Neurospora crassa OR74A: one gene and its partners. The protein of the gene in region 3 purifies or fractionates together with the protein of the main gene of each other region. This does not show direct contact. Links are inferred from orthologs where the notes say so. Each region holds a gene or a part of one and is shown on either strand. Other genes may lie near its edges. The genes, in order: tca-7, NCU00050 and NCU02407.

Evidence for each region.
Region 1: the proteins of NCU02407 (region 3) and tca-7 purify together in Saccharomyces cerevisiae (affinity purification with mass spectrometry; 5 studies listed by BioGRID, with this or other methods). This does not show direct contact. The link is inferred for Neurospora crassa OR74A from reciprocal best matches to the Saccharomyces cerevisiae genes LPD1 and KGD1.
Region 2: the proteins of NCU02407 (region 3) and NCU00050 purify together in Saccharomyces cerevisiae (affinity purification with mass spectrometry; 3 studies listed by BioGRID). This does not show direct contact. The link is inferred for Neurospora crassa OR74A from reciprocal best matches to the Saccharomyces cerevisiae genes LPD1 and PDX1.

Annotation. Positions count from the first base shown.
Region 1 is NC_026502.1:1,592,013-1,602,112, reverse strand, and holds tca-7 (2-oxoglutarate dehydrogenase E1 component), read right to left. Parts: upstream 6,526-10,100; 5' UTR 6,508-6,525; coding exon 3,465-6,507; intron 3,404-3,464; coding exon 2,862-3,403; 3' UTR 2,258-2,861; downstream 1-2,257. Other genes in the region: NCU05426 (WD repeat protein), read left to right, coding at 1-91; NCU05423 (hypothetical protein), read left to right, coding at 8,487-10,100. UniProt on the Saccharomyces cerevisiae protein: The 2-oxoglutarate dehydrogenase complex catalyzes the overall conversion of 2-oxoglutarate to succinyl-CoA and CO(2).
Region 2 is NC_026503.1:2,409,674-2,419,737, forward strand, and holds NCU00050 (pyruvate dehydrogenase X component), read right to left. Parts: upstream 6,054-10,064; 5' UTR 5,710-6,053; coding exon 5,649-5,709; intron 5,545-5,648; coding exon 4,325-5,544; 3' UTR 3,538-4,324; downstream 1-3,537. Other genes in the region: NCU00051 (hypothetical protein), read left to right, coding at 7,165-8,265; NCU00052 (alpha-methylacyl-CoA racemase), read right to left, coding at 9,401-10,064. UniProt on the Saccharomyces cerevisiae protein: Required for anchoring dihydrolipoamide dehydrogenase (E3) to the dihydrolipoamide transacetylase (E2) core of the pyruvate dehydrogenase complexes of eukaryotes. This specific binding is essential for a functional PDH complex.
Region 3 is NC_026507.1:2,603,437-2,613,384, reverse strand, and holds NCU02407 (dihydrolipoyl dehydrogenase), read left to right. Parts: upstream 1-3,604; 5' UTR 3,605-4,072; coding exon 4,073-4,131; intron 4,132-4,218; coding exon 4,219-4,271; intron 4,272-4,343; coding exon 4,344-4,423; intron 4,424-4,510; coding exon 4,511-5,215; intron 5,216-5,290; coding exon 5,291-5,908; 3' UTR 5,909-6,348; downstream 6,349-9,948. Other genes in the region: NCU02406 (nuclear protein), read left to right, coding at 61-2,750; NCU02408 (fatty acid desaturase), read left to right, coding at 7,059-7,318, 7,449-9,066.

The DNA of each region.
Region 1 (10,100 bases), on a different chromosome or scaffold from region 3:
TGCGGGGTCGGAGCGCAAGGGCGAGGAGGAGATGTTGGTCACGACGGGTGATGATGGTGTTGTCAGGCCTTGGCAAGTTAGGATACAATGAGAGAGGAAGGGGGTTTGCTGAGGGTTATCTTGGGGGGTTACGTTAATACTGGAAGTACAGTTTACGGACAAAAGAGATTGGACATGTATCAGGGATGCTTATTAGCACAAAGAAGAGCGATACATGCCGGCTGGAAGTTATGATACCCCTATATAAAATCGATATAGGACTTGCCACACTGCCTTTTCCACGTCAAGTTGTCAACGGGAAAGTGACAAAATACGTTACGATGAGTCCACCGTGCTGGATATACTCTACCCATTACACGATATTCACATGCCCCGACCATTTATTTCTTTCACTCTCTCCTACAACCTTCTTGTGTCCATCCGGCTGGGACCACGAATACCGCCTTATATCTGCCACACAATAAGAGATATAGTACAGAATCCATCTTTGTAATACAGGAGAGCTTTGCACTGGGATCGTCAGGGAAGCACGACTCGAACTTTGTCAAAACTTCCCAGTTTCCATGTTGCTATTTCTGATGATACATATCCGCCATCTTCCCAGCTCGTAACTAAGAGGCTCCATCCTATTCCGGGCTACCGAAAGACTGAGAGCTCCTGGCTACTACATATCAAAGTGCACTGTGAAGGTACTTTACGCCTATTCCTTTTGTAGGGAGGGGAGCCAGCTAGCCGTAAGATAATCAAAACGCCATGTTGATGTAGCCATGTGAAAGGTTTACCAGTGACTTGATACCACCAACCTTGATGAAGAATGGTTTATACTGTTAAGCAGCTGGACATCTCTGTGACACACTATAGTTGATGCTCGACATCAGCACCAACGCTATACAACCTGCCAGTGCAGGAGGTAACCATATTGTTATAATAACTTGAGCACGTCCAGTCGGATCTCACAGATGTTGAACGTGGGATTCACGAACACGAACGCGGAGGATAGGTAGAGGGAGTAGTGACGCCATTCCCAGTTCCTCCATTCAATGCTTCCAATATAGCAACCCTTCTTCGATCACGAGTTGGCTTGTTAGTATACTTACTTCTTCTCACTACCTACCTACCCAGAAGCATATGTACCGTATTCGAAGTACAGTTGTACATCTTTTCAGTTCAAGCAACTGTCTTTGTGCTTCCTTACTTACCTGCGCCTACACTATTTTGAGCGAGGAGGCTGTTCCGTGACCGTCTAGTCTAGCCGTCTATCTCTCTCTCTCTCTCTCATTTCGATCTTATCTTCGTAGTAGACCATGAATACCTACCTATCAACCAATCGCCATCTTTCCTTTTTCGCATGTCTACTATGTAGTTGTACATACGTAGAGGTATCTTCTTTCAGGAGCTTATTGTAGTGTACGTTTCCTGTCCTATTACTACCTCCATCAATGTTACCGTTCGTGGGGCTTTGCAATCCATTACATTAGTGTAGTGTAGTGTAATGTACCCAGCTGCGTTGGCCTCGTTTCGTTTCGTTTTCGGTCTTTTTGGGCATTGCCATATGGCATATGGCATATGGCATATGTATGGCAATGGCAATTGGCCGACGGACGCCCGGATCATCAATCAATCACGAAGCGGCCGGCGGCTCTTTTCGTCTCGTGTCGTTTCGTTTTTTTTTTTTTTTTTTTTTTTTTTTTTTTTTTTTTTTTTTTTTTTTTTTTTTCGGTGATGTCGGGGATTGTCTTGTTTACTCCGCTCGGTTCTCCGCGCCCACAAAGTCCGTTCGTTCCCGTCGTTCTTTAAAACGCTTCGACGCTTGTCCTAGCGGTCGGGTCTTTCGGAACCACTCGGGTAATAATCCCTCGCTCGCTCGCTCGTTGACACGGTGAAAGTTTTTCTCCACAAGATGGGGGTTTGAACCCCCCCTCATTCATCCATTGCCATCATCCATTCTGCCACTTTTTTGTCTTTTGTGCCTAAGAAAATGCCAGGTGTGCTGGGGATTACTGTACATATTTCAGGGAACTGTCCCCCGGCGAGGTGATGAAAATTAAAGTACCATGATACCTTTGTGATACGGTATGTTCGTATGTCTTGTAAGTTACACGATCGTCAAAGCTCTCAACTACTTGTGGGGAGGAGCTTCCGTTTAAGTGCCAAGGGAGCTTACCTACAGACGCTACCCCGTTCTCGGGTATTAGTGCAGTGCAACTGTCCACATCATATAGCGGCCTATCAGCCGCATCAAGTTGTTGAGATAAGGTGAAAGTGCAGCGTAGATGGACGTAGTGTATCAGTTGGGCTGCAAGATATGTAAACGCTATCAAGATCTCGTCAGTCCGATCTGCGGATAGTAGGAAGGTGAGGATGATCTCCGGGGTTACCGGACGGTGCTACCCCCTTGTTGATCCCCCCTTTCAAAGGGACAAACAAGTCCACCAAAGTAAACAAAACAAAGCAGGTCACTTGAGATCGAAGCTGGAGAATGAGATCAAGCTTGAACAATCATCGAATGAATGTATTGTTGTGCAAGGAGAGTAAACATTTGGTATCACATCCATTCATTATTTCCAAAAACCCAACAACCCAGGTATGCAGTGAACAGGAACCGAATACAGATACAATTATGAACAAGAGAAAAACACCATGTAGTATTCGTCAGTGAAGGGAAGAGGAAGAACAAAGGAAGAACACCTTCCCATCCCAAAACCAATAAACACTCTCTATCCGCCCCGAAATCCCGTCCTTATGCACGCGCATCCATAATACACAGACCTAGGTCTCCGCCGTGTTGGTGGTTGTTCGACTTTTGCTGCTTCCTTTTTACTTTGCTTTCTTCATCATCGCTATCTCTTCCGACACACCCTTTACTCGCCCTTGAGCTTGCTCTGAGTAACAGAGAAAGCCATGTCGACAAGCTCCTTCTCCTCCTTGACGTGAGAAGACTTCTTGCCAGTAGCGACAGAAGCGCTGGGAGCACGACCAGCGTACATGACGTGCTTGCGGTCATGGTGCTTGGTGTGGTTGAGAAGAGTCTCAAGACGAGGCTGGGTGTAAGACCAGGCACCAGCGTTGAGGGGCTCCTCCTGGGCCCAGACGATGGTCTTGGCGTTGGTGTACTGGTCGAGGTTCTCACGGAGCTGCTCCCAGGGGAAGGGGTGGAGCTGCTCGATACGAGTGATGGCGACGTTGTCGATCTTGTTGTCCTGGCGGTGCTTGAGGAGAGCGGCATAGACCTGACCAGTGCAGAGAATGACACGCTCAATCTCCTCAGGGGCCTTGATCTCACCAGTCTGGTGAGCAGAGTCGGGAAGGATCCAGCGGAAGTGGGCGTCGTCAGTGAACTCCTCGATGTCGGAACGAGCAACGGGGTGACGCAAGAGCGCCTTGGAGAAGAAAATGACGAGAGCTAAGTGACACAAAGTTAGCATTTTGACGAGATACGTGCTAGTTCAACCACGGAAACTTACGCTTGCGGAACTGTCTCTTCAGCTGGCGGCGGAGAATGTGGAAGAGGTTGGCAGGGGAGGTCATGTAGGCAATCTGCATGTTGCAGTCCTGGTGCTGACGTTCAAGCTTCTCGGGGGAGGGGTAGATGCGAGGATCCTCGTTGCAAAGCGAGAGGAAACGCTCCATACGAGCGGAAGAGTGCTCGGGACCCTGGCCGTCATAACCGTGGGGGAGAGACATGACGAGGCCGGTACGCTGCATCCACTTGCTCTCACCAGAGGCAAGGAACTGATCAATGATGACCTGAGCAGTGTTGGCGAAATCACCGAACTGGGCCTCCCACATGTTGAAGCCGTTGGGGTCCTGGAGAGAGTAACCGTACTCGAAACCGAGGATACCATACTCGGAGAGGGAAGAGTTGGAGATGACGAAGGGGGCCTGGTCCTCGCTGATATGCTGGAGAGGAATGTAGGTGTCTTCAGTCTCCTGGTCGTGGAAGACGGCGTGGCGCTGAGAGAAGGTACCACGCTCGACATCCTGACCGGTGATACGGACGTGGTGGCCCTCCTTGACGAGGGTACCAAAGGCAAGAGCCTCAGCGGTAGCCCAGTCGATGCCCTTGCCCTCCACAACGGACTTGGTGCGGTTGGTCAGGATACGCTTCAGGTTACGGTGGGCATGGAAGCCCTCGGGAGTGCTGCCAATGACGGTACCAATGTGCTCAAGGGTCGGCTTGTCAACCGCGGTAGGCATGTGGGGGAGAACCTCGCTAGCAAGCTCCTTGGGGCTCTTGAAGTTGTTCCAGGCGCTGGTGGTCCACTCCTTGGAAGTGGGCTGGTAGTCCTTGGACTTGGAGAAGCTCTCCTCGAGCATGCCCCAGACCCACTGCTTGTGCTCCTCGATGTCCTCCTTGGTGAAGGTGCCCTCCTTGAGGAGCTGGTCAACGTAGATGTCGATCTGAGGGCTCTTTTCGCTGATGCGCTTGTACATGAGGGGCTGAGTAAAGGCAGGCTGGTCGGTCTCGTTGTGGCCGTGCTTGCGGTAGCAGACAAGGTCGATGATAACATCCTGCTTGAACTCGGCACGCCAGTCAGAAGCGAGCTGGCAGACGAAGTTGACAGCCTCGACATCGTCAGCATTGACGTGGAAGACAGGGGCGTCAATGGCCTTGGCGATATCCGTGCAGTAGGCAGTGGAGCGGGCAAAACGGGGGTCAGTGGTGAAACCGATCTGGTTGTTGACAACCAAGTGGATGGTACCACCGGTAGAGAAGGCGGGGAGGTTGTGGAAGCCCAAGCACTCGTAGACGATACCCTGACCAGCGATGGCGGCATCACCGTGGAGGAGGACACCCATGGCGCTCTTGTGGTCACTCTCGTCGTTGTTGTAGTGCTGGATGGCGCGGACCTTGCCGAGGACGACGGGGTCCTCAGCCTCGAGATGCGAGGGGTTGGCAACGAGGGAGAGCTGGACGCGCTTGCCCGAGGGGGTAGGGCGCTCGAAGTTCATACCCAAGTGGTACTTGACATCACCGGAACCCTCCTCATCGGCACCGGCCATGCCGGCGAATTCGGAAAAGATGGCCTCGTTGGGCTTGCGGACGACGTTGGAGAGGACGTTGAGACGGCCACGATGGGGCATACCAATGACGATGTCCTTGACGCCGTAGTCAACGGAGCGGTCGATGAGGGCCTTCATACCAGGAACAAGGGTCTCGCAACCCTCGAGACCGAAACGCTTGTCGTTGGGGTACTTGGTGGCGAGGAAGGACTCGAAGCTGGAGGACCAGATGAGGCGGTCGAGAATGCGGCGCTTCTCATCGATCGAGTACTTGAAAGGCTGGGGGATCTCGAGACGCTCACGGAGCCAGTCGCACTTCTCCCTGTCGGGGATGTGGATGAACTCGACACCATAGGAGCCGCAGTAGATCTTCTCGCAGGCGTCGATGATCTCGCGGAGCGTCATCTTCTCGCGGCCATCGCGGGCGAAACGGGGGAGGATGCCGGGGCCGAGGCTGTACTCGGTGTCGAGATCCTTCTCGGTGAAGCCGTAGTATTCGGGGGTGAGCTCCTTGGGCCTGATGTTGCCGAAGCCCTTGGAGGCAGGAGTGTTGCGGATGCCCAGAGGGTCAATGTTGGCCTTGTGGTGACCACGGGCCTGGTAGGCGCGGACGAGGAGCTGGACCTTCAAGTGGTTGGTGACGTTGGCACCCTCGCCAATGCCGACGCCGGCGCCGGCAGCGAGACCGGGCACCACGTTGGCGGCACCGGGAACCAGGCTGGGAGGAGGCTGGAAGGCCTGGGAGATGGGCATGTTGCCGCTCTCCATGTTCTTGAAGTAGACCTGCCACGAGACGTGGACGCTCTTGGGGTCCTGCTTCCACTGGAGGTACATCTCGTCGATATAGTTGGCGGCGCTGCCCGAGAGGAAGTTGTCGTTGGGGTCGGGCGGGCTGTGGAGGGCGCTCTCATGGCGCCTCTGCTGGGAGACGGCCAGGGGACGGCGGCCAACGGCGGGCTTGAGGGAGGCCCTGGTGGTCTGGGCGACCTGGGAATAGCATCGTTTTGAGGCGCCTGCGGTCTGCAGGGCCCGGATGGAACCGCGCAACATGATGGGTGGCTGTTGTGAGGTGAGGGTATTAGGACGCAGAAACCGAAAGCGCAATCCAAGCAGCGGGGTTTTGTTTTGTGTGTACAATCTGGAAGAGGGGAGATTTGGGGGGGGGGGATGCGCAAAAGGCAAAAGGAGCGGCGGAGTAAGTCTAGGTCTCGGTCGTCGTCGTCGACTCTTGAGGGGGGGAATGGGGAGAGAGGGGGAGAGAAGACGAGAGGATCGAGATTTGGAGGGGAGGGGGACGACAGACGTTGGTGTTTTTGATGTTTCGTTGGTGTCGGGGGAAGGGGCGGCGGGAATGCAGCGACGGAAAAAAAGGGCCTCACTCTGCCCGCCGTGCAGGTGCGTCGAGTTGCTCCGTCCACTCACTGGAGTCGGGCGGTCGGTCGACCTGTCGGTGCAAACTGCAAGAGCGAGCGAGTGCTGCCGTCCAGCTGTGCTGCTGTGCATGCCTGCTGACTCCCGTTCTGCCCGCCCTGTGGAATTGACAGAACTAACGAACTGAATTGAGTGGACTGAAGTAGCTCGTACAGTGAGCATCAAGGCATCTGCACGGCTCTGTGGAGGGGACGATGACGGCACTTGCTGAAGCACAAGTGAGGCTCCCTCCCCCTCGGCTCCCGCCGTTGCGCCGCTACAAGCGCACTCAGTGCAGTGCGCCCTGGATGCTTCTCTTGGCCATAGCTTTAACATTGTGGAGCCGGCGAAACTGGGTGGAGCTACCCAGCTTCTCGCACTGGGAACAAATACATCGAAGACGCCCGGGACCCAACAAACTTGAAGGGGACATCAATGTGAGATTCTCTCGGTACCTCCATAGCCGCAAACTCGCCTACCTTCAGTTATTTACTGCTCAGTCTGCTACATACCCATACGTAGTAGCGTACACAATGGAATACACGAAGAGATATCATATCCATCATCTACTCGAATCCGTCCTCCCTCTTGTTGTTTGTCCAAAAGTCACGACGGAGTTCACGGTTCGAGCGGTGACCACGGTAACAGCAAGCATAACCGGAAGTCGTGGAGTTTCTGTGGTTTCAAGGAGGGGGACGGGAGCTGTGTCTCCATGACAAGTCATCGGGCACGCAGCAAACTGGGAAAGTGTGGAAGAGCTGGAAGTTACGGTCTGGAGAGTGCTACTGTAATTATTTCATTACGCATTGGCTCCCGCACCTCCCGTCGAGACTGGAGTTGGAGGCTCCGAGACCTGACCCGAGTCCCTTTTCCCCGGAAATCACGGTTCCCGTCTTTTTGGACCAAGTATCCAATCTTACCGTGGAAAGTGGGGAAAACTTCCATGTCCGAGGTGGAAATGTACGGTAACGCTTTCGGTCCCATCTTTGAGCGCGAACTTTTCGAAGCTTTCGCTTGGGGCATCGAACTGATGGAACTGCGCTAGACATGGTCTGGTCGGTATCCTGGGTTATGGGTTTGGGTTCAATTAGCTACTTGGCACTGACCGCCTTGTGACTTGCCGTAGTATCATGTGACTTTTGCAAAAGTCATTTATCAAATCCATTTTGTCAAAGAAGAGACAAGCGAACCGAGTCTAGATCTCGTCTCGATCTCGTCTCGAGTGGTTTATCGAAATGACTTTGAGGTTTGGCTGTTGGTTTCGATTGTGTAATTCACTACAAAATCCTGCATCGTCAGCTGCCACCTTCAACTTCTTCTTCATTATTGAGCCAGTTGCAGCATTGACTGCACGTCACAGTGTTAAATCCCCCAACTCTCATTGGCTGGCCGTGACTGGTTCGCTGCAGTGCAGTTGCTGTTGTCCAAGCTCTGCGCTGGCTTCAGATCCTTGGCATTTCCCACCCACGGCACCTGCAGCAGTTCGTCGCCCAGAGCTCAGGTCCTGTGGTGGCCAGAGATCCGACCTGGGTGGACAGCTGCCGTGACACTGTCTGTCGGTTCAAAGTGGAACCTTCCCGAGCTGAAACCTGAAGTTCAAGTTCTTTACACTAGTTGAACAGCCCCAGGGCGACCATGGAATTGTTAGTAGTCGTGCTCCACTGCAGCCTCAGCTGCCGCCTGCCTGCCTGCCACGCATAAACTACCTACTACACTATGTAAACTCACCACCCACTCACCATCCCGCAACGACATCCGCAGCAGCCAATGCCTCACCCCGGATTCAAGACTGACGGGACCTGGATTAGATTTGCTTGGCGTTACTACACTACATCACCACGTCCATCATCGTCTAATGCCGTGTACCTTGACGACTCTCCCGTCTCTCTTCGATATCAGTAAGGCGTAGTACACGAGCACGCTGTGACATACGTATCGCGTTAATACATCCTTGTCAAGGAACACATTGCGAGGCTGGTCCGTCTTTATAACATCAAAAGATTGGGAACTGGGCATTGAGCGTGGACTTGAGATATTCAACGGGCGGTTAGGGAGAGGACTACCTAGCCAACATGGCCCCGATTGAGATTCCCCGGGGACAGGCCTCTTACAAAAAAAGAGAGGGCATCATCACATTAACCCCAGACAAGACAGCCCTGATATGGAGCCCCTTGCCGGGCACTGGCCCACCCGTCATCTCACTTTCCGTATCCAACATCACAAACCTCCAACAGACCCCCAAGACGAATCCCAAGGTCGTCTTGAGAGTCGTCGAGAAACCCAAGGCGCCCGGAGCCGATCCGGCTGCCTATCCCTTCCAGTTCACACATGCCACCGAGGCCAGGAATGAGGCCGATGCCATCAAGGATCTTCTCTCTCAGATCATTGCTGAGCTTCGTGGCGATGACCCTTCTCTACCCAAGCCGGCAAAGTCTGGCCCCAACGGCGCCGGCGCCTCTGCCGCCATGGCCATGGCCAGTGCCGTGAACTCGAAGCATTTGCCGTTTCGCTGGTTCGAAGACGACATGCTAAAGGCCGATGTAGAACTTCAGCAGTCCCTCATGAAGAAGGATAAGGCCTTGGCCCATATATATAACGACGCAAAGCTGTCCAAGCCAGATTCATTATCAGATGCCTCCTTCAACAGCCAGTTCTGGGCCACCCGCATCAGCCTGCTACGTGCCTATGCCATCGAGCTGAACCAGAAGAAGGGCTCATATAACGTCCTATCAACCATCAAGCCCCGGACCGAGAACGGCGAGCTCAAGTTGAACATCAACCATGAGCAGGTCCAGCTCATCTTCCAACAACACCCACTGGTCAAGCGCATCTACAACGAGAACGTCCCCAAGCTCACAGAGTCCGAGTTCTGGTCCCGCTTCTTTCTCAGCCGTCTCTCCAAGAAGCTCCGCGGCGAGCGCATCACCGACAATGACAACACCGACCCCTTATTCGACAAGTATCTCGAAGCCGACAACACCATGGCAGTCCCAGCCAAGATCACCGCCACGAGTGTGCCCCCCATCATCAACATCGAAGGCAACGAAGAAAACCAAGGTGGCTTCAGGGGTGGCAACCTCAAAGACGTCGAGATGCGTCCGCGCGCCAACATCCCCATCATCAAAACGCTCAATTCGCTCTCCGAGAAAATCATGGCCAACGTCGCCCCCACAGACGTCGACCCCTCCGCCGCCTCCTACTCCAAAGACGGCATCGCCGACGCCCTATCCAAACAACTCGCCCTGCAAGACCTCCGTGGCGACGCCGAGGCCCAGCTGATCCGGCTTTCCGTCAAGGACACCTCCACCTTCTTCACAGGCAACCAGCCCTCGCTCACCGACCAAGAAGCCGCCGACGCGCGCCTCTACGCCACCCAAGTCCCCTCGGACGTGCTCTTCGAAGTGCAAGCGGACATGGACACTCTCGACTCGGACGGGCGCGGCGGCATCGATCTCCACCGGTCCATCGGGGTCGATCCCGACTCTGACGACGAGGGTAATAACTCTCTGGACTCTAAAAGCGGACCCAAGCCCCAACACGTCGGCTCCCGCGCTGCGCTACGGTTCGCCCAGAACCAGATCCTCGAGAGCATGAAGTCCGCTCGGTCGCACCTCACCACCACCACCACCCACGGTGGCTCGCACACCACCACCACCAATGCGTCCGAAGAACGACCCATGTCGTTG
Region 2 (10,064 bases), on a different chromosome or scaffold from region 3:
GGATGGCGGTTGGTGAGTATGGGTGCCAGCATCGCATCTGGATGTTCTGCGAAGTGTGTGCAGGAAGACAATGCGAGTGGGTTTCTTTTCCCTTTTGCTTTGTGGGTGAGGCCTTTCTTGCATTGAGCTAGCACCCTTTTGGTTAATGCAACTTGAGGGTGCACGAACCACCCGGTGTATGTAGCGGGCTCCGGGGTCATGGGAGAGGCTCAAACTTCGTTCCGTCTTCTTTTTTTTCCGGTTCTGTCGTCCAGTATTCCATTCCTCTTGTCTTTCTAGGAGTTGTCTGACATGCCCAGTTTCTGTGAAGCGTACCTATGGTTCATATTGTAATTTGCCAGACTTACAGTTGAACCGATACCGACAGAACCTAGAGTATTGCGACACGAATGGATACTACGTAGGCTCTATGTGGGATCTATAGACCCTCGCTCGCCTCGTTAGCGATCATTTGGTTCAAGTTTCAACAGCGCTATCAAAATCTGCCGGACAAGGCTGTCCCTTGATACATGAACGCAACGACCTCTTTGGCTCGCATACACATGGCCATATGTATCGGACGATAGGGTTCTAGAGGATGGTAGTTGAGGCTCTATAGCCTTCTCGTCGTCGCCGCGGGACAAAGACAACAGAGTGCCAAGAATCCGTCACAAACAACGCATATCACACAATACGCCCATAATGGACAGCCTTTCCTTGGATTCCACTCCCATAACGTACGATTACCGGGAGTAGCTGGCACCATGCCATCATCTTCTTTGTCAAGACAACACATGCCTACATCGACCGTTGACATGGGACCGCAGGCTGAAGTGAGGTAAGGCAAGGTAAGGGTGCTCACCCTAAACCGAAGATGACGCTGTCTCGCTTCTTCCCGCACCCTTTCCGCCATTGATATTGCCAAGGGACAAAGACTCACGTTTCACAATGGAGAGGATATCGCCGGTATCACGGAAAGCAACCATGAATAGGAAAATACCGGCTTGCCGAAGTCGGGGGATCCCTTTCGGTTTGATATGGGACGTGGGACGCCGGCAAGGCAACACTCACGTCGGCACTGTACGACAAAGTGAAGAAAGAGTTATACGGAGCGTAGATACAGGCTTACACTTACACACAACTCACCTTCCCATATGACACTTCATTCTAGATTACGCACACAAGGCTGTACTGTTGCAATACCTAACTAGTGAGATATCGCCTTGTGTTGGTTGCGTACCTAACTTCAAGTCTGGAAGTAACGATATTCTGAACGAGAAATTCAAACTCCGGAGTCCTATCCTGCTTCATCTTTGTCAGTCGTCATCAACAAAATCATCCGAAGTTACCGGGCACTCCAACAACAATATATTTCTTTCACCCGCGTGTCCGAAGAAGGTTCAAAGTAGCACCAAGAGACTTGCGGCGCAAAGTCGGCAGATCAAACATCTTGAAATACATGCTAATCCCAGGTAGATTTACAAAGCTTCTTCTGACATCACCGACATATGCGGGGCAACGGTCTGATAATGAACCGAGTATGGTCTCATCTCATTGCATCTCGTCTCATCTTATCCTGCTAACTGTTGTGGTTTGGTTTTCGGTCTTATGTCACTGGCTTGATGTGTCCCCGGTCGGATGGCTTGACCTTGAAGCTTCACACATAGGGGTATCCCAGGTAGGTGTATGGCAGAAACTTATGCACCGACTAAATTGCATGTCGTGACTTGTGTCACAGCTTGTTACACCTGATGACTCTGTTGTAGGGTTCTGAAAATCCTGCAGGTAAGTATGTCCTTTCTTGTGCGTCTACTTCTATTCTCTGCGGGCTTCTAGGTCTCATTTGTAGGTGGACGTTGGCTCTTACCGACACCTGAACCCGGAAACTTTCTGGAAAAGTTAACGAATTTTACTCTGATTGAAAGAACAGCGAGGATTACATCAGATAACTTTGCTTCGTTACTCGTTAGTGTATGCAATCTTAACCTAGCCAAGTATAGACTTCATCGAAAGCTGTGCCTTACAACCCTTGATGCCATATACTTAGGTATCTCCTCAATTCACAACTTAGGCTGTGTTTGATCTAATTTGATCTGGTACGGTTTTCGTGCAAAAAAGGGCCATGTGCGATGTTTCCAATACTCGGAAAGGCGGCCACGTCATCAAGTATCCGTGTCCAGAGAGAAGTTGGAACTCGCCTTGGGAATATCGAATTGAGTTTAGTTGGGTTGAGTTGAGTCGAGCTACCCAGTTGAGTGAACTGAGCTTTTTCAAGCGCTATACGAAAGCCGTACGAGAACAAACGCAGCCTTAGGTGTAAATGGAAAAGATGAACCGTTTCCAAGTCATTTGTTATCCACGAGTGTCTAAGACAAGCCGCGCGGCCCATGGTCTTGAAGTTGTTTCAATCGAGTTGTACATGGGGGTTCGGTCAGACCAAGTTTGAACTTTGAAGCCTCGCGAAGCGGATGGTTACCGTTTCCAGTTCCAGATCTGGAGAAGATTCAAAGATGCGGAGACATGAGACTTATTCAGATTATTCTTGGATGTAAGTGAGCGGAGGATCTAGGAAGGGCTTGGACCTAAAGTGGAAGATTGAGGGCTTTGAAAGTCCCAGGATTGAGGATCCAGAGCTACTCACAACAGGACATTGAAGCCTTTTGCAATTTCCCACAGTTGAACTTGGACTCATCTTTCGGGTCGTTTCAACCGTGCAGAATGCTCATCAACGCATTTGGCTCATATTCAAGAATCAAAGATATAGAGGCCATGACGCCGAACACGGTTCTCCCCTTCGTTGCCTTCCTCCCCTCACTCACTTTAACGTCCCCGCATATTCATACCACATATCCCATGGTCTCCATCACACAAATTCAGAAAGCTTTTCAGGTACATGTATGTCCTCCCAATATTTGCCCCATCAGGCCAACTGATTACGGATTGAGGCAAACCGGCCAAGGTAGGTATCAAAGATCTTCATCGAGGGTCCTGGGTGCCCGACCCGAAGATAGCCTGGAGACTAGACGTCGGTAAATTGGTCTTGGAATATTAAACAACGATATGGTCAGTGCTTGATTGGACAAGATGGGTATATGGGAAAAAGAGAGGCGAGGAGGTAGAAGTAAAAGCGGGGGTGTGATTGGAGATGTAGGAGGCATGAGTATAACCTCATATGAGACGAGTGGATGTATTGGGATATGTGATTGCGGACCAGACCATGTGATGATAGGTGTAGTAGACGTGGTGGGCCTATATAGCAATCATTGGGAATTCATCGTGGGGTGGGAAATGTTCACTCGGCTTATACCAGGAAATGGCTTTAGCGTTCAATCTCCCCTAGGGGTACGAATGCTTTTGGTACACGCCGCAGGTGTTTTCGGACTGAGTGCCCCAATGTGGTTTCAAACAGGATCCATTACCATTCATCCAGTAAGGCTCTTTATGGCTCTTTACGAAGGTCCTGGTGGTATGGACACCTCTACCGTATTGAGATAGTAAGTTCAGATAATTCGAGGCTCGAGTGTCTTTTGTGGGAAAGAATTAATCTGTCAAGTGTCTCTATTTTGAATACATGATGAGTTGATGGATGGTCTCGAACGAGATGAGGCCTACACTATATGCACATAGTGTGGTTCAATCTCAGCCTCCTCCAGAAGGCTCTAGTGGCAGACCTTGAGAGAAATGATTAAAAAAGCTGGTTCTTTCTTCTACGGAGGTCTATCACTTATGTGCCATGAAGTCTTCCAGTGTACTTGGCGGCCAGAAAAACTTATAGCCCAAGATACAATATACCTTACCGCTGTGTGACAGAGGCCTGGCTTATGATGTTGATCAACATCGAGTTCGAACTGAATCATTTTCCTCCCGTACCTCGAGTTTTTGACGGATGACCTGTGAAGATCAGGTCACAGTGTACCTGCTCATGAACAGGAGCTGCATGGCGGTTGGACGTACGAGCTGATCAAATGACCGAAACATGGCCTGGCAAATCCCTCCATACGAGCGGAGAACTTTACCGTCGAGCACAGAGCTCATGGGCTAAAGGCACGCCAACCATAACGCAATCATGTCTCGGTTATTCGAGCGGTTGAAACGCGACTAAAAAATGCCCAGGATGTCCGCACATAAGCGCATGTTGTCCTCCCGAACATTAAGAGTAGAGAACCTAGATCATGAAGCCATAAAAGTGGAAGTCTAGTGCTAACAAGTTACTCCATACAATCCAATACCAACATATGTCAAGCAAGTAAACCCCATGTGCATTATGTGCATTTTATTCCCTCTCTATAAAAGGCAATTGAGGGAGCGCAGGATGAAAAAGAATGAACAGATCATTAAGTTTTTTTTAGGCACGTACAAGCTTGTCAGGCTCCTGTTCCAAAACAAGCTTCATCTTCTGAAGGAAGGCCTGGGCCCTCTTCTCTTCCGACTTGGGTACCTGAAGGCTGAAGACGTTGGGTCCAGAAGTGGTCAATCCGGGGGCGGCGGACTTGCTCTGAGCAGAAGCAGCAACGCGCGTGGAGGGAGCGGCGAGAATATCGATGATATCAGCCTTGCGAGCTGCCCGCTGAGGGGCCACGAAGGAGCCGAACGTGGGAGTATAGGAGCCGCGAGATTCCTTGCGAGTGACCTTGTCAAGACCGAGAACCTGGTTGAAGAGCTCATCGGCAGTAGGCTGGTAGTTTGCGGGAAGGGGTAGCTTCTGGTTGGCGATCTCGGTGGCACGGGTAATGAAGGTTGAAAGAGGGAGGAAGACGCCGATGGTTTTGTGAAGCTTGTTCTGAACATCGATGGCGGCGGACAGAGAAATAGGCGCGGTGACAACAGCTACGGGAGGAGGAGCGGGAGCATCCAGCTTCTTGGACTGAGCCTTCTCGGTAGTGGCCTTGACAGCCTCGGTGCTCTTGGCAACCTTGATGTTGCTAAGGTCGAGGTGCGACTGCTTCTCGAACCTCTCGGAGACGGTGGACGGCGTCTGGGCGTTAATCTTACCAAGGTAAGCAAGAACGTCACCCTTGAGCAGACGGCCGCCGGGGCCGGTTGGGGTGATATCCTTAACGGCAGCGGCGTCAATGCCGTTGACCTTGAGGAGATGGGCGACGGAAGGATAGTGGGGGTATTGCCTCTTCGGAGGCTTGGGAGCCGACTTGGACGAAGCATTCTGAGGAGCGGATTCGGGGACGGCAACGTTAGACTGGTCCGCGGTGGTCGGTGGGGGAGGTGCCGAGGGTGCTGACTCGGCTGGCTTGGACTGTGGGGCTGCGTCGGCTGGGATCTCGAGAGAGCTAATGTCATCTCCTTCCTCCGCAATAACAGCTATCCGGGCGCCGACAGCAACACCCTTGGCGCCATCGTTCTTCATGATCTTGACCATGACACCGTCATCCTGCGCCTCAACGTCCATAGTGGCCTTGTCGGTCTCGATTTCCAACAACACGTCACCGGCAGAGAACTTGTCGCCCTCCTTCACCCTCCAGGTCGCGATATTGCCCTCCGTCATTGTCGGCGACAGAGCGGGCATGGTAAAGTTTTGGGCGGCGAGAGCGGCGGCAGAGGTACGGAAACCTGTTTACATGGCATGTTGCTCCAAGTCAGCAAGTGATGACCTTCTAGGCACCTAAAGCGGGCATCATGTTGACGGGCAGGTGACGGGAGCCGAGAGAACCGACCTCTGACGGAGCGCCCTGCCATTCTGGCAGAGATGCGACAAGCTGCTGTTAGCGAAGCCATGGCGGATGATTATGTGGTGTTGTCGCAACGAAGACGTGAAATGCCTGGTCAACGTGGATATCGCGATAGGGCTATGGTGGTTTCCAGCAAGGAAATCGAGAATGGGGTTCGTGGTTGCTGCTTGCTGGGGATCTCCAATTGAGCCTTATGCTTGACGTATGTCAAACGAGTCAGGTTCAATGCTAAATTCCACCGCGAGGTCGACGGGATGGGCAGCGGGCAGTGGATCTTTTTGTCTTCCTGTCAAGAAGTCTGGCTGCGGACCCGGCGGCGACAGAAAACGGACGGGAACCAACCCAGAAAAAGCTGTCGCCAGCTTGTGGATGCTGATGAGGGTCGATGAGCGACATGTTGGGGAAACGACCGTGGGAAGCTTGGACCACCCTCCAAATCCTCCGATGAACCCCCGCGACCGCCCCATGTCCCCAAACCTCTTTGGGCAACGAACCTCTCTTTTTTTTTTTTTTTTTTTTTTTTGGGCGACGTCTTCACCACACATCACTGGCGTGCAGCACCCGAGCAGCTGTCTCTGCGCAGGACGCGCGCTACAGTCAAAACTGGAGCCAAATTTCAATGGAAGTTGCCCGGGGTTGTCATCATCCTCGCGCTACTGTAGTGTAGAGTCAGCAAGGATTGGGGACATCCATGTCCTCCCCCGTCAGCCCGTCTTCGGGCATGGTGATTAGGGGCATTAGACTGGTCCGTGCATACTCCACTTTCCTTAAGCCGAAGGTATCAAAAGTCACCCGTATAATTACCGTAATTACAGAACATATGGCCGGCATATGGTTGACATATGTCAATATTAACGATTCACATTCACATGCGGGGGCCTCTCACCGGCCCCCTGCACCCCCGGAGCTAACCCTAACCCTAACTAACCCTAACTAACCCTAACTAACCCTAACTAACCCTAACTAACCCTAACTAACCCTAACTAACCCTAATACTAATTGGTAATTTGCAAAGAAGTCGGGTATTGACGGCTGTTCGCGGACGTAATTACAAGCTGGTATGGAGAAGGTACCAAAAGCGACTTGGCACGTGATCAGACCCATATTTTCTAATGCCCCCATTCACCGTCCCCCCCGTCTTCGGCCTCCAAATTCTCCCCTGCAGCCAAGAACCGGTCCCCACCAGCGGAGCTCCATTGCGGACCGAGTTCCTGAGGGGAATCCGCTAAAATATTCGAGACCTGGGAGCGGGGCCGGGTCCGAAGATAACCTGACGAACGGTTTTGTAGTGTACGTACAAGCCCCGAAACGCAACGAAACGGCAGCAGGTGGCCGGGCCGCACCGTGATCCAGTTTCCCTCCCCTCCCCGCCGTCAACTGACAAGGACCCGGACCGGAGCCGCTCGCCCTCAAATCCACATAAACTCCGTTGCCGATCTCCGTCCCCCGGCAGCTACCCCGGCGCCGTACAGAACTACCGCCCGTCATCCAACACAGCACCATGGCTTCCATTTCCAGTAGGCTCAGCAGCCAGTTCGTCCTGCTTGCACACCGCACGGCGCCATGTGCCAGGACTGCATCTCAAGCTTCGGTAACACGTTTCGTCCTGGTCTTCGGTTCCGGTTCCGGCTCCGGCTTCCGCACCGCCCAAACGGCACGCTTCTTTGCCTCCAAGGCTAAGAAGGTAGCAAAGAAGCCGACCTCATCATCCACTGTCATCACTACCGTAACCGCTCCTCCCACTGTGGTCCCCGCCTCATATGCCGAACAGCTAGCGAAGAAGGGCCGGACCCTCCTCTACGAGGCTCACTCGCACGCCTGGTTCCGCTTCGCCAGCTTCACCACCGGCAGCTTCTGCATCGCCTACTCGCTCTACAACTACTGGAGCGTCCACCTCAACCCTCCGGCGGACCTGTCCACCTGGGTCCCCTATGCCTACGGCGTCATCTGCGCCATGACCATTGGCATGGGCGGCTACTTCTTCATGGGCTTGCGGCGCATCATCCGGCACATCGAGGCCGTGCCGGCCTCTCAGGTGGTCTCCCAGATCACCGATGGCGCAGCCTCGGCCTCCACCAAAAAGTCCAAGGCATGGGCTGAGCTCCTCACCAGCAAGCCCAAGGCCGTTCCCGTCACCACCCCTACCCCGATTTACCTCGAGGTCGCCTACAGCCGCGCCATCCCCTTCTTGCCCAACAAGAAGGAGTACTACCACCCTTCCGAGGTCGAGATGCCCTTCCGCATGCAGCTGCTGTGCGAGAAGCTGAACACCCTTAGCGCGCAGAAAAACGTGGGCAAGAATTTCCCTACCACCAAGACCGGACAGATCATTGCGGCGAGCAAGCAGAAGGCTGCCAGGGAGAAGGAGCGCAAGGAAAGGATGCAGCATCTGCTCACCCTGCCGTTCAGGGACGCGGCGAAAGTGTTTCGCGGGGCGTATGATGGCCTCAGGAGGTCGTTCTACCGTGAGGGCTTTGCCAAGGTCTATCTGAGGGGCGTGGAGTATAAGTTGGATATGACTTCTGGATGGGCGCTGGATGATGGAAGGGCTATTGATCGGTTGGTCCATGTCAAGCCGAGTGCGAATATTAGCGCGTATTGAGCGGGCGTGCTTGGAAAGGTGAGCCGGGAGCGAAAGGAGTTGCGGTTGCGGTTAGGTATGCCCCCGTGACTCGTAGGACACGATATCGTTCTGTATAGACTACTGTAGCATCAACATATGTATAATAACACGCAGATGGTATGGAATCAAATAGACGAAGGAATGGAAAGTTGAACTTCCAAGGATCAATACCTTGGGAGTGTGTCCAAAGCTGCTGACTCCAAGGCTTTGACGAAGGTAGGCAGCGTGTCTCGAGTCGCTTGCCCCTTCAAGTATTTGTTCATGAAGCCCAGATCAAAATGTTTTCAAGCTGGGGGCTATATGATTGGCAAACCACTAGCGAAGATTTGTACTCAAAAAGCAAATATTGTATGTAAAACTGTGCCCAAATGAATGGGTGTCGAGTTGTTCTTCCTTCCACCTTGGGTAGGCTGGAAGTTATCCATGCAGAAAGCAAACATAGGAGGGAAAAAAAGAAGGAACCGAACGCAGAAAGAAACTAATGATAATATGATGTTAAAGCTCAAGTAATTTGAATCATTTTGGTTCATGTGAAAAGAAAGCAAAAAACATGGGACCTGGGAGGCTCGAACTCCCGACCTCAGGATTACTCTGACGTTAAGCCAGATCATACGGTTTATGAGACCTGCGCGCTAGCCAACTGCGCCAAGGTCCCTTGTTATGGTTTTATGGGCTTTACATATGCCTATACCATACAGTTAGAGAAGATCACAGTTGCTTGGCGGACAAAATCTCGCTCTTTGCATTAACAACATCCGTTTCCGAAGTGAGGAACAGTATCTAGGTAGCAATAACTTTACATATAAACCTCAACCCATTTGAAGTGTCACTCCTTCACTATACTGACGGAACCGAATGTTTGTCTCTTTTTTTTTATGACAAATGGTAGACTTCTTCTAGCTAACCTTGCCTACTGATTTGTTGGCTTGAAACACTACAAGTCATGATGGAAAGCAACGCTCAGCCGCCAAGGATTTTTGGAAACGCACATAATCGATCCTCCACCATCCTCTCTCCCCTCAGGATGTCCTTCGACGACTCCAAATACCCCCACCTCCCCTCTCAAAATCGCGCTTTATTTTGCCGACTTAGAACCACCCCTCACACGCTCCTCCTAGGCCGTGGCGAGAACAGTGTTCATTGTCGCAATCCTGTTACGACGCTGCGGGACTGAGTTCATGCTTCCACTTCCGGCCTGTTGTTGATGCTGTTCCTCTCTCGGCGCAGGTGTAACACTGGTGTTGGTGAAGACGGCATCATCCTCAGCCAAATTCACCTCACCATCCATGATCAAATCAGTCTCCCAGCCCTCCCAGCCAGGCCTGTCAAACCCATTCGGCCTTGAGGCACGCACATGCTGAATTAGCAGTCCTTCCACCTCGATCGCCTCCTTCGGCCAGCGAATATCCTTGCCATTGAAGCCCTTGCTCTTCGCCTTCAGCATCAAATCCGGCCCAAACAGATGCGGGTACGCGCGCTGCATAGCCTTGAGCGCCTCTCCACTGACCTTGTCGACAGAGTCATAATGTCGCAACTTGAAGAACGGGCCCGCGAACACCATTTTCAGACGCTCCTGCTCCTGAAGCGGAAGCAGTCCCAGCTTGAGCAAGAATATGTCGTACTGGCAGAGACTGGTCCGACACATCCACGACCCGCCCTTAGTCTCGCGTTGGTACAGGCCTGCCATGGCGGCCACGCAACCCAAAGCGCCGGTGCCGTAGTCCGACATGGGCATGGGCGGCACGCTGGGCTCGTTTTCTAGTCCCATGAACTGGCCC
Region 3 (9,948 bases):
CAGCCATTGTCATTCCTGCCTGGCAATCAGGGTTCTCCGACGAAATCCTAACTCTTGCAGGACAATCTCACGGAGGTCGCAAGAATCAATTTCAGTCTAGAAAGGATCGCCGTAAAGCAGAGAGAACACAGAAAAGGATTCACCGCACCTCGTCCACAAGAAGTTACCATACCGAGCGCGCTACAGCCCCAAAACCACAGAAGAAGGTCGATGCCGCATCGTCAAAGGAAGCAAAGGAACCCAAGCCCATCTTGAAGAACGGGAAGAAACGATCATTGGAGGATGAGGATGAAGATGTTGCCCTCGAAGAGGACGATGATGAGGATTTCGATGACGAGGGCGATATCGATCTTGACGAGGACGAGGACGATGAGCTAGACCTCGACGAAGAAGACGACAAAGACGGCGAAGACGTGGACGATGAAGAGGAAAGTGATGTCCCAACACAAACCATATCGAAGTCGCAGCCCAAAATCTCAAAAACTGTCATGGAACGATTGGCGCAAGACGACAAGGAGATCGCAGACCTCGAAAAGAAGCTCGGCATCAAGGGACGCAAATCGCTTCCCAAGTCCTTCCAGGAGGATGGTCTTCTTGATCTACTAGAAGGCCTTCCTGGCGTAGACGACGAAACAGCCGAGAAAAGGAAGCGGAAGTCCGAAGCGGATGAGTGGCTTGCGGCGAAAAGGAGGAAAGCGGAAGAGGCCAAGAAGACGAAGGAATTCGAACTAGACGAGGAAGAAAATGAAGTCTCCGAACTGGACGAAGAGGACGATGGCTTGGACGATCTCTTAGAGGGATTGAACTCGGACGAAGACAACGACGTTGACCAAGACGAAGACATGGTCGAAGGCGATTCTGATGAAGATGGAGAAGAAGACAGCATCTTGGGCGAGGATGAGGGGGATTTTGGAGGATTTGACGAGGACGACGACGAGGACGACGACGAGGACGACGGCGACGACGACGAATCCGACAACGACGAAGAAACGCTACAAAAGCCGCCAGAACGGGTCCGCGAAAACCCATATGTTGCGCCTACAACTGGGCGGACTGTAGTGAAATACGTGCCACCATCGAAGCGACAGGAGGCGGGCTCAGAAGCGGAGTTGGTGGCCCACATTCGCCGTCAAACACAAGGTCTCATCAACAGGATGACAGAGTCTAATCTTTTATCCATCATTATGGACTTTGAAAAGCTTTACCGCGACAACCCGCGACAACATCTTACGTCGAACATTGTCGATCTCCTACTCATTCAGGTGTGCGAGCCAACGACGCTGCCTGATACGTTGCTCGTGCTTACCGCGGGTTTCGCTACGGGTATCTTCAAGGTGATTGGCATGGACTTTGGCGCACAGTTAATTCAAGAAGTGATCGAGCGATTTGATAGGCATTATGAAGAGGCCAAAGAGGCTGCAAAGGAGCGGCCAGACGTGCCGAAACAGACATCCAACCTCATCACTTTCCTATCCGAACTCTATAACTTTCAACTCGTGGGCCCTAACTTGCTCTTCGACTTCATTCGAATCCTTTTGGGTGATCTTTCGGAGCTGAACGCGGAACTTTTGCTCAGAATTGTGCGCATTGCTGGCCCAGCCCTCCGACAAGATGACCCCATGTCTGTCAAGGACATTGTTACCCTTATCCGCCCGGCTGTTGCCAAGATCGGAGAGAAGAACCTCAGCGTCAGAACTAAATTCATGATTGAGACCATCAACGACCTGAAAAACAACAAGATGAAGACGGGTTTAGGCGCTTCCGCCGTTCTCACGGAGCACACAACCAAGATGAAGAAGCTTTTGGGCACCTTGAAAACCATCAAGACGGCCGAGCCCTTGCGAATGACCCTTGCCGATATACGCGATGCCGACAAGAAGGGCAAATGGTGGCTTGTAGGCGCTAGCTGGGCAGGCAGAGATAAGGACAGTGACAAGAAGCCATTGACCCAGGACGGTGTCATACAGGATAGCGTTGACTCGGACGACGAAAGCTTTGTCTTGGAGGATGTCGAGGACATGCCTGACCTCGGAGAACTTGCCAGAGAAAACCAGATGAACACGGACGTGCGCCGGTCCATCTTTGTGTCGATAATGTCCGCCACGGACTACGAAGATGCCTACTACCGCATCCTCAAGTTGCGCCTGAACAAGGAGCGACAGAGAGAGATTCCATACGTGGTCATCCAGTGTGCCGGCGCAGAGCAGGTCTACAACCCATACTACACCTTGGTGGCCAAGAAGCTTTGCGGGGATCGCAAAATCCGGTGGTCGTTCCAAGACGCGCTCTGGAAGCTATTCAGGCGTCTCGGAGAGTCAGTTTTTGGCGATGACGCGGAGGATGAGGAGGATGTAGATGCGATGGACATGCGGCGGCTTGTCAACATTGCAAAACTGTTTGGGGCCATGGTGGCAGGTGGATCGCTAGGATTGGCAATTCTGAAATGCCTCAATTTGCCTTATCTACAAACCAAGACGCGGGCGCTAGTGGAGATCCTGCTGATTACTGTGCTTCTTGAAGCCGGAAAAGGCGGCGACAAGGATCGGGATGAGACGATTACTTCGGTGTTTGTGGCTGTGGAAGGGGTCCCCGAGCTTGCCAGAGGCCTGCAATGGTTCATCAAGAAGGTGGTCCGGAAGTCGGATCTCGCGGGAGGGGCGGCCAACACCAAGCTCGTCAAGGAGGGTTGCAAGACGGCCATGGCGGCCTTGGAGCATGCGCTGCTCGCCGCCGAAGGCTTGGTGGAATAATTTTGCTTTGTTGGATACCTGTATATGGATCGGATATCTTCGGGAATAGCAACATAATGATCAGGGATACAAGTGTGCCGGGGTCTATACAAAAGGCCATTGACCAATATCATGACAAGTTCATGGAACTAACCCAAGCATTCTCGCTCGAATGTAGTTACCTACTTTGTAGATATTAGCGTTGACGGCGGGACTGGAAAAGTTGGGGGTAGCTTTAAGTTGGGGAACTTGTTGTCAGGAAGGGCGATTTGCTACTAGGGATCCAGGGAGCAACCGACTCGAGTGTGCGGGAGCCCGGAAATATAGTGGTCTGTGAATAGCACTCAATGATGTCATTTCGTCTTGCAACGAAGGGACAGGGTTTCATGAGGGTCGGGCGGGACTCTTGATTGTGGACATGAAGAGGAGGCAGATGGTTTGAGATGAATTGCCTGCCATGTGTCATGTCGTTCGACAAACAACTAACCTCTAAGACGGGTTAGGGACAGGTTATGCTTCTCCAATTCGGCAGCTGGGCAAGCTGGGGTTATTTGGCGTTGACGGGCGGAGTAAAGAGGGGAGCAAAGAGGGGATCGCGCCAAGGAGCAAGATGAATGTCAAACACAACCTAAGCTGTCAGAAAAATGGCTACAATACATAGCGGGAGTGCAGAGATGTCAAAATTTTGGAGTCAGCTGCTGCACGCCAAGTTCGTCTTGACCAATCACAGGACGCAATGGAGCGTACCTAGTACCGTACGTATTTGGGGACGGGTTTCTTCGACGAAGCAGTCAGGGCAGCAGCGACAGTAAAGTAAGACGGCGAAGAGCGCGCTGCCCGTCCCGCCTAACACTGGCATCATAGTACTTTTACTTCCTGTAGCACACTACCTCTACACTACTAACACGATCAGGCAGTACCTACCTACCTATTTAGTGTAGCGTACGCGAGATTAGAGGTACCTACTACCTACCTAGGTAGTGGTGTTCCTACTCCGCTCCGTTCGTACCTACCTCTACCTACTCCGCTCTGCGCTGTCTCGAGCGGGCCAGCTTGGGGACGGGCACGGTGGAAAGCGGGTGCCCTTTGAGCGATGTGAGCCTCTGACGGGCTGGCAACCCGAACAAGTGGGACTGGACATTTTTCGCTTGCCGTGAATAGCTTCCGCCTCGAATCCCAACAATTGTCTCTCCCGCGGCGTTTTGCAGTTCAGTACACACTTTCGACGTCTCACCATCGAATCGCATTCCCTGCTTCCCCGGGCATCTCTCTGCAGTGCGCTCGTTCCTTCGAATTTTCCCTGTTTCCATTTCTGGTTTTTCCATTCAGCACATACTTTCACCATGCTGTCCCAAAGATTAATAGGCCGTGCTGCCGTCCGGTCCGCCTTCAAGCCCTCGGGGTAAGCTCACTGTCCCGGTTGCCGGCGGATGCCCGACACACTGTTTTCTCATGCGCGTACTGAGGCTGACCTGACGACCACATACAGGCTCCCTGTCGTCGTTTCTCCCAGGTTGAGGAGGACCTATGCGACCGAGTCTGGTCTGTTTGCCAACATCAAGAGCTGGTTCTCGTCAAAGGATTCTGGTCGGCTGACTGTTGATGTGCCCGTAGAGGAGAAGGATCTCGTCATCATTGGAGGTGGCGTCGCTGGCTATGTTGCTGCCATCAAGGCCGGCCAGGAGGGTCTCAAGGTGCGTCGCATCGCGAATCAACTACACCGCAACACCGACGAATGACGACAATATCTGACTGCTATCTCCCATGTTGCCTGGAAATAGGTCGCCTGTATCGAGAAGCGCGGCACCCTCGGCGGTACCTGCCTGAACGTCGGCTGCATTCCCTCCAAGTCGCTCCTCAACAACTCCCATCTCTACCATCAGATCCTCCACGACTCGAAACACCGCGGCATCGAGGTCGGCGATGTCAAGCTCAACCTCGCCCAGCTTATGAAGGCCAAGGAACAGTCCGTCAGCGGTCTTACCAAAGGTGTCGAGTTCCTCCTGAAGAAGAACGGCGTCGAGTACATCAAGGGTGCTGGCGCCTTCGCCGATGAGCACACCATCAACGTCAAGCTCAACGACGGCGGCGAGACCTCCGTCAAGGGCAAGAACATCCTTATCGCCACTGGCTCCGAGGTCACCCCCTTCCCCGGCCTCGAAATCGACGAGAAGCGCGTCATCAGCAGCACTGGCGCCATTGCTCTTGAGAAGGTCCCGGAGAAGATGCTCGTCATCGGTGGTGGCATCATTGGTCTCGAAATGGCTTCTGTCTGGTCCCGTCTCGGCGCCCAGGTCACCGTCATCGAGTTTCTCGACCAGATTGGCGGCCCCGGCATGGACCTTGAGGTTGCCAAGTCCATCCAGAAGATCCTGAAGAAGCAGGGCATCAACTTCAAGACCGGCACCAAGGTCGTTTCCGGTGACAAGACTGGCGAGACCGTCAAGCTCGAGGTCGACTCCGCCAAGGGTGGCAAGCCCGAGACTGTGAGTGGCCCATGATACCCTGCAGGCTATCTGTTCGTTGTCGTGATCTTCAAAGCTGACATTGTTCGAACACAGCTCGAGGGTGACGTTGTTCTTGTCGCTATTGGCCGCCGTCCCTACACCGAGGGTCTCGGCCTTGAGAACATTGGACTCGAGAAGGATGAGCGCGGCCGTGTCATCATCGACTCCGAGTACCGCACCAAGATCCCCCACATTCGCTGCGTTGGTGATGTCACCTTCGGCCCCATGCTTGCTCACAAGGCTGAGGAGGAGGCTGTTGCTGTCGTCGAGTACATCAAGAAGGGTTACGGCCATGTCAACTACGGCTGCATTCCTTCGGTCATGTACACCTTCCCCGAGGTTGCCTGGGTTGGCCAGTCCGAGCAGGAACTCAAGAAGGCTGGTGTTCCCTACCGCGTCGGTACCTTCCCCTTCAGCGCCAACTCCCGTGCCAAGACCAACCTTGACACTGAGGGCATGGTGAAGATGATCGCCGACCCCGAGACCGACCGGATTCTCGGTGTCCACATCATCGGTCCTAACGCCGGTGAGATGATTGCTGAGGGTACCCTTGCCCTCGAGTATGGCGCTTCCAGCGAGGATATTGCCCGCACCTGCCACGCTCACCCTACCCTCGCCGAGGCTTTCAAGGAGGCGGCCATGGCCACTCACTCAAAGGCCATCCACTTCTAAGCAGCTGGAGCGTTTTGGCGTTGAATGGCTCTAAGCACGGAAAAATGTGCTGTCTGGATTTCTAGCATTGGGAGTATGGAAAGAGGATGGGAGGAGGTGTGTACTTGTACTGTAGTCACGGGCTTTCCCTCGAGGGTTTAATAGGGGATTTTCACATGACATGCTAAATAGACGCCGCTTGTTGGTTGGACTAGGGCTATTTGGCCTTGCGGGTCCTGGTTGGGCTCGAGACTCGATGAATACACGAGATTTTAAGAGATACAGAAAAGCTACCTTGGTTGCCAGATGGGATGGCAGGAAGGCTGCTGGTTATTTTATGTTAACATTGCCGAGTTATCAGAGGGCTGTGGGTTTTGGATGATTCTTGTCTGTTCTCCATGCTGGTGCAATTACTTCTTAGTCCGAGTAGCAGTGCCCATCAATGCCGGTCTTCAACTTCGTTCTGGTGTTAATGTGTATTCTCGTGTACAGGGCATGTTGCTTGGCATGACGTTATTTGTTTGATAAGCCATCGCTCAGGGACCCTAACCCTCTGAATATCCTTGGGACCCTTTGTTCTATTCTTCCCCTATGTTTCAGGGACATGCAGGCAGTTGTTACCCTGAACACCCAGGGTCCAAAGACGTCGTTGGCGATCAGCAATGTGGTTTAATTTCAGACGCAAACGTTGGAGTGGCAAGAACCCTTGCGTGACATCTGGTATTGTATGACCCCTATGTGGTGCAGCAAACGCCAAGCGGGATAGCCTGGAGCTGGCAAGCTGGGTAGACGCGCCTGTGTGGACAGCGGTGAGGTTTCCACTCGGTCAACCCCTCCAGTAGGAATGATCTTATCCAATGTCACGTCGTCCCATGCCCGTTGTTTTGGGTAGCCATGTCCACTGCCTAGGAACAGCGCCCGCATCAGAATCGACGTATCGAACCACTCACCAACCTCTGTGGCCCTATCCGTCCCACCTTCAAACGTCCACCCACCTACTAGTATCAACACCTTGGATCTCTATCAAAACTGACCTTGGGTTTCCTGAACTGTTGCGAGGACAACACCACAACCTTTCCCTGTCCACAGACGGCGGGTGTTTTGTTCCATCCAGTAGCGAATCCCTCCATCTTTTTCGTTCAAAACACAACAGTCTTGCGCAAAGACAACAATGGCTTCTAAACCCCCACCACCATCACGCGCCGCTGCCGAAGATACCGCAACGGCTCAGCAGTCGACAGTTAAGACAGCAGAGCGGACATATCCCTTCATTTCCCGCCGTGAGATCGAGGCCTTGATTTCAGAAGGTCGCCATATCATCATTGTCGATCAATATGTCCTGAAGGTAGACGCTTGGGTCAAGTATCACCCCGGAGGTGACAAGGCCATCAAGCACATGATTGGGAGGGATGCTACCGATGAAGTGAACGGGTGCGTACAAAACACAATATCATGCACCAACCGCGACAGTCTGGATCCAGTCCGGTGTATAGTTATCGGACCCCGGTGAAGAAGGAGATGCTGACTTCATAGCGTGTACTTTTTTTTGGAATCACTACAGGTTACATTCCCCAGAAGCAAGAGCTCAGATGAACAGGTACAGAGTGGGTAGGATATCAGGGAGATGGAAGAATTTCTTGCCGCCGATACAAGGAGGCAAGTTCAGGCCAAGAGGAGAAGAAGGTGAAGAATGGGAGGAGGAGTCCCCAGAAATCAGGGCCAGAGCTGCGAACTACGATGAGGATACTAGCTTCGGATCGTCATCATTTGCGAGTCAGGCTGCCTCTACTGAATCCGAGAGCTCACGGACCCCTTCGCCCGCCCCTTCCCCGGTCTTTGATGATGGAGAATCGGCGCCGGAATTGAACCAACTCCGCGCCCGTTCTAACGCCCGGTCAAAGTCGGCTGTAAGCCGATCCGATTCCTTCACCTCGATTTCCTCCATTGAGGATGAGAAGGCCAGTGCCAAGGGCGCCGATGGTGGCCCTAGGGATGGCATGGCCCATCTCGACGCTCTAACAAGGCAAGAGATCAGGCTCGATCTCGACAAGTACCCTCCGCTCGATGAGGGAACGCAAGACACCGTCATCCGAAAGTATCGTGAACTCAACGAGCGCATCAAGGCGGAGGGACTCTATGACTGCAACTATGTTGCTTACGCCATCGAAGGATTCCGCTATACTCTCCTCTTCTGCGGGTGTCTTCTGTTCCTAAAATGGGGTTGGTACGTTCCTAGTGCGTTCTGTCTCGGCTCTTTCTGGCACCAGCTAGTCTTCACTGCCCATGACGCCGGACACATGGGCATCACGCACCATTTCCATGTCGATACTGTCATCGGCATCATCATTGCCGACTTCATCGGTGGTCTCAGTCTAGGTTGGTGGAAGCGCAACCACAACGTTCACCATATCATCACCAACAGCCCTGAGCACGATCCGGACATAGAACACCTCCCCTTCTTCGCCATTTCCCATCGTTTCTTCACTAATCTGCGGTCCACATACTATGACCGTGTCATGGAGTACGACATCTTTGCCAAATTCTTCGTCTCCCTCCAGCACTACCTCTACTACATCATCATGATGTTCGCCCGCCTGAACCTCTACCGTCTCTCGTGGGAGTACTTACTCAAGGGCCAGGCACCCAAGCACGGTCCTGCCTGGTGGCACCGGCATCTCGAGCTTGTCGGTCAGGTCTTCTTCTGGTGCTGGTTCGGTTATGGGATCATGTACAAGGCAATCGATGGCAACTGGAACCGCTTTGTTTTTTTCATGATCTCCCACGCGGTCACCAGCCCGTTGCACGTGCAGATCACTCTGTCACACTTCGCCATGTCCACGTCTGATCTGGGCCCTCATGAGTCCTTCCCGCAGCGCATGCTGCGCACCACCATGGACGTCGACTGCCCCGAGTGGCTTGACTTTTTCCACGGCGGCCTCCAGTTCCAGGCCATTCACCACTTGTACCCGCGCATTCCTAGACATAACCTTCGTAAGACGCAGAAGCTAGTCCAAGACTTCTGTAACGATGTTGGGATCCCTTATGCGCTGTACGGATTTGTGGAAGGCAACAAACACGTCATCGGGAGGCTAGCTGATGTAGCTAGGCAGGCAGCTATCTTGAGGAAGTGCCAGCAGACTATTGTTGATGGCAGCATCGGACATTCTCATGCTCACTGATTGTGACGCTTTCGAATGAGGGAAACGTATTGCACATGGAACTTTTATAAAAGGAGGGGATGGTCACAGGCGAGCGACGAGATATGGTAGATGGGCTACACGGGCTACAATGGCCCACAAGTCTGGATTAAAGACAAAGCCACGCTTTGTTCAGTATATATATATTTTTTTCTCTACTCTAAAAAAATTGTAAGAAAAATCGGTATTCGGGCTATGCATACCTGTACTTTCCTTGAGCAGGCAGTTTTGCACGTACGTCCTAGAGCAAGGCCATTCAAGAGATATCACTACGTCTGGTCTGACTGTGAATCAAACTATAAACGACACTCTGGGACCTGAGCTTTCCGGGGGTGTCCTTGTGATTGGTTTCGACCCACCGGACGGAAGGATGTAGTTAGCACCTGACCTGCCATATGAACTGTGTACAAAGGTTGTTGACAAACAAGTCCAGAAGTCCAGATTAACGGAACGGGAGCTTGAATGAAGGTGTGGATGATGGAAGACCGGGATGCTTGGAGCAGCACAATGACGAGGTAAGAGAATATGAAGGTGACACGAAGCAGTAAACATTCGGGAGGTGTAACAAGAGACAATCACATGTGTCTCTTCGGCATATACGTAAACAAAAAAGAATGGAATAGCCCAATAAGGTAGAGACGTCGAGAATAGAGACATGGCCAGTGGAAAACATGACCGTCACGTTATAGAAGCAGTTGGATGGTAACCAAGCAGTCTTGTGGCCGGGGCAAGAGGCAAATAGAAACTCGATTCTGGTAGTCTCATTCACTCAGCCTGCCTACCTGGGCTACTTACGCAGTACTTCTACAGACCCACATTGAAGCTTGGCTCTGCCCTCCCCCCCCCCCCCCCCCCCTTCTCTCT